2 linked regions of the Danio rerio genome follow. The protein of the gene in region 1 interacts with the protein of each later gene in a biochemical or structural test. Links are inferred from orthologs where the notes say so. Each region holds a gene or a part of one and is shown on either strand. Other genes may lie near its edges.

The links. The genes of interacting proteins can lie anywhere in the genome.
Region 2: the proteins of ston2 (region 1) and syt1a form a complex in vitro, tested with the Homo sapiens proteins (2 studies listed by BioGRID). The link is inferred for Danio rerio from reciprocal best matches to the Homo sapiens genes STON2 and SYT1.

The regions. Positions count from the first base shown.
Region 1 is NC_133192.1:18,053,660-18,057,159, forward strand, and holds part of ston2 (stonin-2), read left to right. Parts: intron 1-696; coding exon of another isoform or gene 697-725; coding exon 726-2,568; intron 2,569-3,500. UniProt on the Homo sapiens protein: Adapter protein involved in endocytic machinery. Involved in the synaptic vesicle recycling. May facilitate clathrin-coated vesicle uncoating.
Region 2 is NC_133179.1:21,724,246-21,728,405, reverse strand, and holds the start of syt1a (synaptotagmin-1a), read right to left. Parts: upstream 2,801-4,160; 5' UTR 2,740-2,800; intron 1-2,739. UniProt on the Homo sapiens protein: Calcium sensor that participates in triggering neurotransmitter release at the synapse. May have a regulatory role in the membrane interactions during trafficking of synaptic vesicles at the active zone of the synapse.

The sequences.
Region 1 (3,500 bases):
AAATATATACATATGTATGTATGTATGTATGTATGTATGTATGTATGTATGTATGTATGTATGTATGTATGTGTGTGTGTGTGTATGTGTGTGTGTATGTATGTATGTATATATATTGTTAATCGTTTTATATGGAAAATAATTATAGAGATCATATTTTTGCCATATACAAGTCCTAGTAGATAGTGAGAAATTTTACTAAATAATTAAAGTTCTTACATATCAACAGTCTTCTGTGTCTAAAATGACTAAAAAGTTGATTATTTAGCTATCCTTTTTTCATAATGCAAAAACTTTAATTCTGAAAAATATTTTCTTATGTATTCAATCACACAATAATCCTCTTTTAAATGCATCTGTGGCAAGTGGAAATTTTACATTTATGCATTTGTCTATAAATCATAGTTGATTAGAATCTGCCTTCTTCTTGTAGTGGAAATGTCTTTCAGAAAATGGACAAAAATAGTCCAACCATTGTGACTCTCATTAGGTTTCAAAAATAAACTCAAAGTACTCTGGAATGACAGAGGAGGTCATCCGTTTTCTTGTTTATAAGATTAAGTCTGCCTCATATGTATGACATGTCCCTTCCTCCCTTCCTGGTTATTCCTTTGAGAAAGTTATTCAGCTAATTATAATATCAGTGGTCAAATTTTATATTAAAGTGGCTTCTTTGTCTTCTTTTTTCATTGACAGATTCTTCTTTGTGCCAAGACGATGAAGGAATGAACATGGATTCATTCAACTGGACAGCAAATAACCAACACACCAATGGCCAAGCTTATGTCACCTCCAACCGCTTTGCCAGCTGGGTTACTTTTGATGAGGATGAGGACTCTGTGTTACAGCCTCCGGGGAGGCCGTCTAATATAAAACTGCATAACCTCAACAATTCTCCTCTGCAGGATGCCAACAGCAACCTGATTCCCTCTTTATTTTGTGGCCAGATGCCAGAGAGACACATCCTGGACTTGACCCCTGATGGCAACAATTCAATCTTTGCGTTTGATAACACATTATCAAAAAACAGCGTCCCTTACAACAAGAAGAACCCTTTCTTAGATGATGACTTCTCCAACCTAAAGCCCTCTCCTATTAACCCCTTCAGTGCCTATTTTGACGAAACAGACTTGAAAACTTCCCAAGGCATTGGCTTGTGTTCAGAGGCATCGGATGTGTCTGCTTTCAGCTCACCTTTCTTTGGATATCAAAATGCTGATATCAAAAGGGAATCTATTTTGCTTTTTCCACCTCAGAAAGACTCTGCAATTGAAAAAGATAGTGTCCAGTCAAGCTTTCCTGTAGATGGTCTGAATCAGCTCAGGAATATACACATCTCTGACCCTGACCGTGATGATAGTCCTCCTTTACCTGATTCAGTGGATGAAGCGGACTCCACTGATTCCACTTATGAACCACACCACATGACACCTCAGGAAGGCTGGCCGATGCTCCTGCGTATTCCTGAGAAGAAGAACATCATGTCCTCACGTCACTGGGGACCAATATTTGTCAGGTTGACGAACAGCGGCCAGCTGCAACTTTTCTATGAGAAAGGGCTGGAGAAGCCCTTTAAAGAGTTCCAGCTGAACTCCCAGCATGAAATATCAGAGCCCAAGCTTCAAAACTACGATGAAAATGGCCGGGTTCACACCATCAGTGTAGACCATGTGGTTTACAAGGAAAAGAGGAAGATCCAGCCCAAGGTCACAGTGGTTCATTTGCCTGTCAAAGAGCAAGTGGTGAAACTTGGGACTACAAACTACCAGGACTTCTTAAGCTTTCGTCACGCTCTACAGGAGAGACTTGTGGGCCTCTCGATGGACCAAGAAGGTCTCAACTGGCCAACGACTTACACTGAAGAGGAGGTCCATGTGGAGGTGAGGGATGACTTTTATGGGATTCTCTCCAAAGGAGACAGCCGGATCTTGGAGCAGCTGGTTTTTACCCGAGTGAACATGCTAGCCTTCTTGAATGGATCCCCACCTTGTAGTATCGGCCTCAATGATATCCAGATCAAAGGTAAAGAGGTGGTTTCTCGGCATGACATAATTCCTAACACAACCTCACGTTGGATTCAACTGCGGGACTGTCGATTGCATGAGTGTGCAGACCAGCTAGAGTTTAACGAGTCCCGAGCCATTACGTTCAGCCCACCGGTTGGCCGCCGATTTGAACTGCTTCGTTTCCGCACTCCGTTTGCCGAAAAAACCCTTCCCTTCACTCTGAGAACTGTTGCTTGTGTCAGGGGTGCAGAAGTGGAGATGCAGTCCTGGCTGATAATGTCAACCGGGTTCTCATCCAATAGGGATCCTTTAACGTTAACACCATGTGAGAATGTTGCAATTCGTTACCCCATACCAGAAATTTGGGCAAAGAACTTTAGGCGCGAGAGTGTGACGGGAGAGAAGTCTCTGAAGGCTCGATTCAACAAAGGAGCCAGCTTTGGTTCGACTAGCACATCAGGGTCTGAACCAGCCATGAGGGTCACACTCGGCACAGCCAAATACGAACAGGCCTTTAAGTCTGTAGTATGGAGGATTGGTCGCCTGCCGGACAAGAATTCAGGTGGGATTTTAGGGCTGAATTTGGTAATCATGTTGTCAAATGATAAGACAGCAGGAATGAACTTAGCATGCTGGAGTTGTCATATGTTCATAAGTCACACAGTAATAATTTCAGAATAGGTCACTTGTGAGTTCTTGTGAGTTCATATTATACCTAATATTATATATTTGGTCATACTTAATTTTAAGGTACAATTTTTTTAAACCACTTATGCTGCGTTCACACCAGACGCTGATGAAGCATCAAGCGTAAGCGGTTTACATGTTAAGTCAGTGCAAAGACGTGAATAAAATAATTTTAGTAAGCTACAAAAATATAGGATATAGGAGAAATAGGATTAGCATAGCATAGCCATGTTATGGTCTTTAAATCAAGATCATGCTTGCCTTGTTCTCCTCTGCTACTCTTGTCTAATAGAACTTTTTAATTCCATCTAAATTCTGTTTTTCATTTGATAAACCAGTTGCGACTTTTTCTTAGTGTCTATAGCCTGTATAGTGATTTTGCTGTTGCTCTAAAGTAATGCTACTTCTGCTTTCTTTGTATTGGCATGATGAGAATATTAGCATAGATAGTAGATTAAAGGTTTTAGTCTGAATAGATCCTCACAAACTCCCAATTCACAATGCAGTGCTAACAAGCAATGCCTCTTAATGCAGTATTGACTATCAATGCAAGTGCATTGGTGTAGAAATAATCTTTTATCCTGTTTTGTTGCTTTTCTGTGGTCATAGCATTTGCATTGCGACCAGTGCTGGTATTCTTTTTTTTTCTGTCAATGGCAAACGCTTTAGGCTTTTCAATAGTACATCAGCAGGGATCCCCTCCCCCTGCGTGAGCCTGATTGGTGAGACAAAACTCAAGCTGTCATTATCTATTAATTCACAGGCTCACTGTCTGACATCCCTGAGCTTCACAGTCCAGCACAATGA
Region 2 (4,160 bases), on another chromosome or scaffold:
GGCCCTTTGTCTCTTACATCAGCATGGGTGCAGAGTTAGTGTTTTATGGGGAGTGACTCTGTTAAGATTATCAGTCGAGGAAATCGGGAGAGGATTAGGGCAGGAAGGGAATCGTGGGTAATACACTGCTATCAAAAACAAGCATGGTGAAGACCGAGATTCAGAAATGGCGGGGAAAGATTCAGAGGTGACTTCTCTCAACACATTGTACGGCTCAGGGGTGGGATTATAAAGCAATTAGCTGCAGTGGCGGTGATTAATACTGTGGCTAATAGGATGAGGCTGAAGATCGGATGGGGGAAGGAAGGTACCAAGCAGAAGAAACCTGGACGAAGACAAGCACAGTGCATCAATCACAGATGACAGCTGGGACAGGGTCCAGGAGCTCCATTCATCATGGGGAAGAGAGGGACACACACAGCTCAGCAAAGTAGCGGAGGAAGCATTAATTACTAGTTGCTTCAGACATCCCTGACAGCTCAGAATGTAAACTGAAGTCAGGTACTTGAATCAAGTTGAAGGCATTGAAAGATTTAAGTGATTTAAAACATTACAGAATGGCTGATTCAGACCTATAATGATCAGAGCATTTTAAGTTTTTTTTTTTTTTTTGTAACTTATGGCTATATCAAGCTATATGCTATGGCTTGTGGGCTTATATTTACTACTCAAAACCTCATCTCTTAATATACTGTAGTTCCTCAACATGCTGCCAAAGCAGAGCAAACTCACAGGGGCATGGTACTGTACATGTACCTGCCACCAAGATTTTAGCACATGCTTCAAGTCCTGTAGGTTGCTGTGTGGAATTGCCAACTTATTGGTCCAGCACATTCCACAGGTGGTCAATTTGGACTGATGTGGGGAATTTGGAGGCCTAGGCAACACCTAGTTTTCTCCACTGTGTACATCAACTATTCTTGAACAATGTATAGTGTGTGGCAGGGCAGGGTGCTTCATTCTATTTAAAGAGATCACTTGCACCAGGAAGTAGCACCACTGTACTGAAGAGGTGTACAGAACATGGTCTTCAACAATGTGTGGGTAGGTAGCATGTGTCAAATTACATCCACATGAATTGCCTGACCCAGTGACTCCCCATTGGGACTTTGCCTAGATCATTACTCTCAAGCCACTGGCTTGTTGTCATCCAACAATGCATCCTGATGCCATTACTTTTCCAGATAAACACCAATCATGTACACGAACATCCGCTTGGATTATTGGACCAGCTGACATTCCATTCCTCCAAGCTTCAGTTATGATGCTTGTCTACCTAATGAAGGCTTTTTTGATAGCTGATAGGGCCATTAAAGAGCACTTTTTAGTTTTTTTTTCCTATGTATTCCTGCCATAACCATTTTTCAAATTTTGCTCAAATTGTGCCACAGTAGAACTTTGACATTACCCTCTCCATTTTTAGGTAGAAATATGTTAACATTTACAGATACAAAATGTTTTGATTGATTCTGTTAGACTATATACAGTTTGCAAGTACTAATACATAAAAGGCAAACAACATAACTGTCTGAAATGTACAGAAAAATTAAGATTTCAATAAATATATAAACAATAAATATATATTTATATATAAATATATATATAACTACTTGTAAACCAAACCATACCTCTCGCTTTAAAATAATCATGAACAAAACAATTACTTAACAATCTTAATTTACTACATTAAAGTTGTTTTTAAACACTTTGTTTTCACAAGTTTTTCATTCAAACACTTGTTGCAATGCATTATAAATCCAGTGAAATCCAAAACGTATTTAATTTTTCAGCTTTTGTAAAACTTAAACTTGAAGCTTCAGTAACTGAATGCTACATGATAGTTTAGTGTAGTTGTTTTAAACTGTGTGTAATCATTTGGTCATTCAGAACAGAATCAAACAATCGTTCCATAAGACGTTTTATAAGTATATTTCATACGGTACTAGTTTTATTAGTCAAAACATTGAAAAGAATGTTTGAATAGAATATAATCTAAATATTTAATGTCAGTATTCATGAGGATTCATTTGTAAGTCTATAAAGTAATTGGCAAGCAAATGGACAAATTTATTAATAAATAATAAATGGTTTTAGATGTTGTCCATACATTATTATTTTTTATTTAAATGCTGTTCGTTTGTCAATACTGTATGTTTCATTTACTGTATGTCTGTGATAGATGTATGATAAATGTAGACTAATGCACATTGGGTGAAACCACACTTACAAATACATTCAAATACTAAATTAAGTTAAATAAAAGTTGAGTTAAATTGTGATGCCCAAGCAAAACTACAACTTGTTTGTGATCAACTAATAGTATAAGAAATGCATTACTGTATAGTAACAATTTATTGTGATTTAAAGCAAACAAAATCATTTTAATGTCAGCTAGATATGCATTGCTCATTCATCTCCATTACAAGAGCTATACAAGTCTACAACATCAAGCATTACATATCCCTCTAGATAAAATTGTACCATAAATACAAGAGAGTGAAAGATTTACCAAGCTATGTGCTATCTGTTCTGTGATTGATGGACTGATGGTATCATTTGAAATACTATAGAGTGAGTTCAAGCTATAGCTTTATCTTAAATTCCAAGAAATAGTGTTTCTTTATATGGTTTCCATAAAACCTGTAATACAGCTGCCCTGTGTATCTTTAAGGTTGTAGTGTGGGATGAACAACGTTATACTAATGCTGATAAGATTCTTGAGAACAAAAAGCACAGTACCTACAAAAAAAGCACAGCCGTCTCTTCCCTTTCTTCTCCGGTTTTTCCTTTGTGCTCTCTGGAAGGAAAGGAGAAAAGATCACATTAGCACAACACTGGCTCAGAGATGGCCATCTGCAACACACATTATCATCTCAGCCTCAGGGCAGAGCAGAAAGTCTTCAGGGTGTCCAGCAATAGACCCTAAGCATGATGCCTTTTTCTTTAAAGTGTATAGATTTATATAAAACAGAAAAAGAAATAACCAGGTTGCAAAGCAGGCCAAGGCACAGCTATGAGCCTAGAGATTTATCAAAATATCAAAATTCAAGTAGACTTTTGACATTCATCTCAGTTGCAGAGTATAAGTGTATGCAATGATCCACATTCAGTGACATAAGGTAAAACAATTCCCAATAGAACTGAGGATCACACACTTTACTCTGAATATTCAATTAAAGATGTTTTGAATAACAGCTTTAAAGTAGCCTGAAGGCAGAGCTGTACAGTGTGTCGGTCTGATGTTCATTAATTAGCGCAGCTCTAAATAAAACAGACTGCTCATTGTAGAGTTGAATTACAATATCTGAATGTCCACATGAAGACCTGTGACGATGAAGTCACCTTAAATTAAATATGAAAGAGAAGTAGGTTTGAGCTCGGGAGAGTTAATGGCAATCTAATATTCTGTTAATTATAAAGTGCAGTCTTGTGTTCCAAAATTGAAATCATTTAAGCTATGTAAAAGAAAAGCTTTGTTAAAAAACCAACCTTTTGCACATGGCACAGACTCGCTGATTTTAATCAAAAGTTTGAAGTTATATAAATCAATAATAATTATCATATTTATATGATACATTTCAGAAACTAAACCACATATTCAACATTTAATAAACACAGCAATACCTATCAGATTTTATCCTGAAGTTTCAATTTCTATAACTCTTTAAATTATAAGTATATAACTATATATATAGCCACTATATATTAAATATGCTCTCTAATATGTGTGTGTGTTCACTGTTGTAGTTTTTTAAATATGACAGTTTAAAAACAGTTTGAACTGTATGTGCAAAAATGGGGCATTTCTTACACAATTTATGCAATAATTGCATAATTTACATGACTGCAGTGTTTGCAGCTTATTAAATCTTTGCTTTCCATTCTCTGTCACACACACACACACTCTACATTCACTCCCTCCATATTTCCCCTTCTCTCTTTCCCTAATACGATTACATTTTATTTGCCCCCAGTTGCAGTTGATGCCACTCTTCATTATTTAACCTCCAGAAAGCATTTCCAGACTCAAGTGATAAACACACAGACACTAATTCTAGACAATTTACCCCCATTTAGTATGATTTATTATACACCGCTGACCACCTACTGGAGTATTCAATTAATAAAGCAGAGCCGCACGCTTGCCAAGTCTATCAATG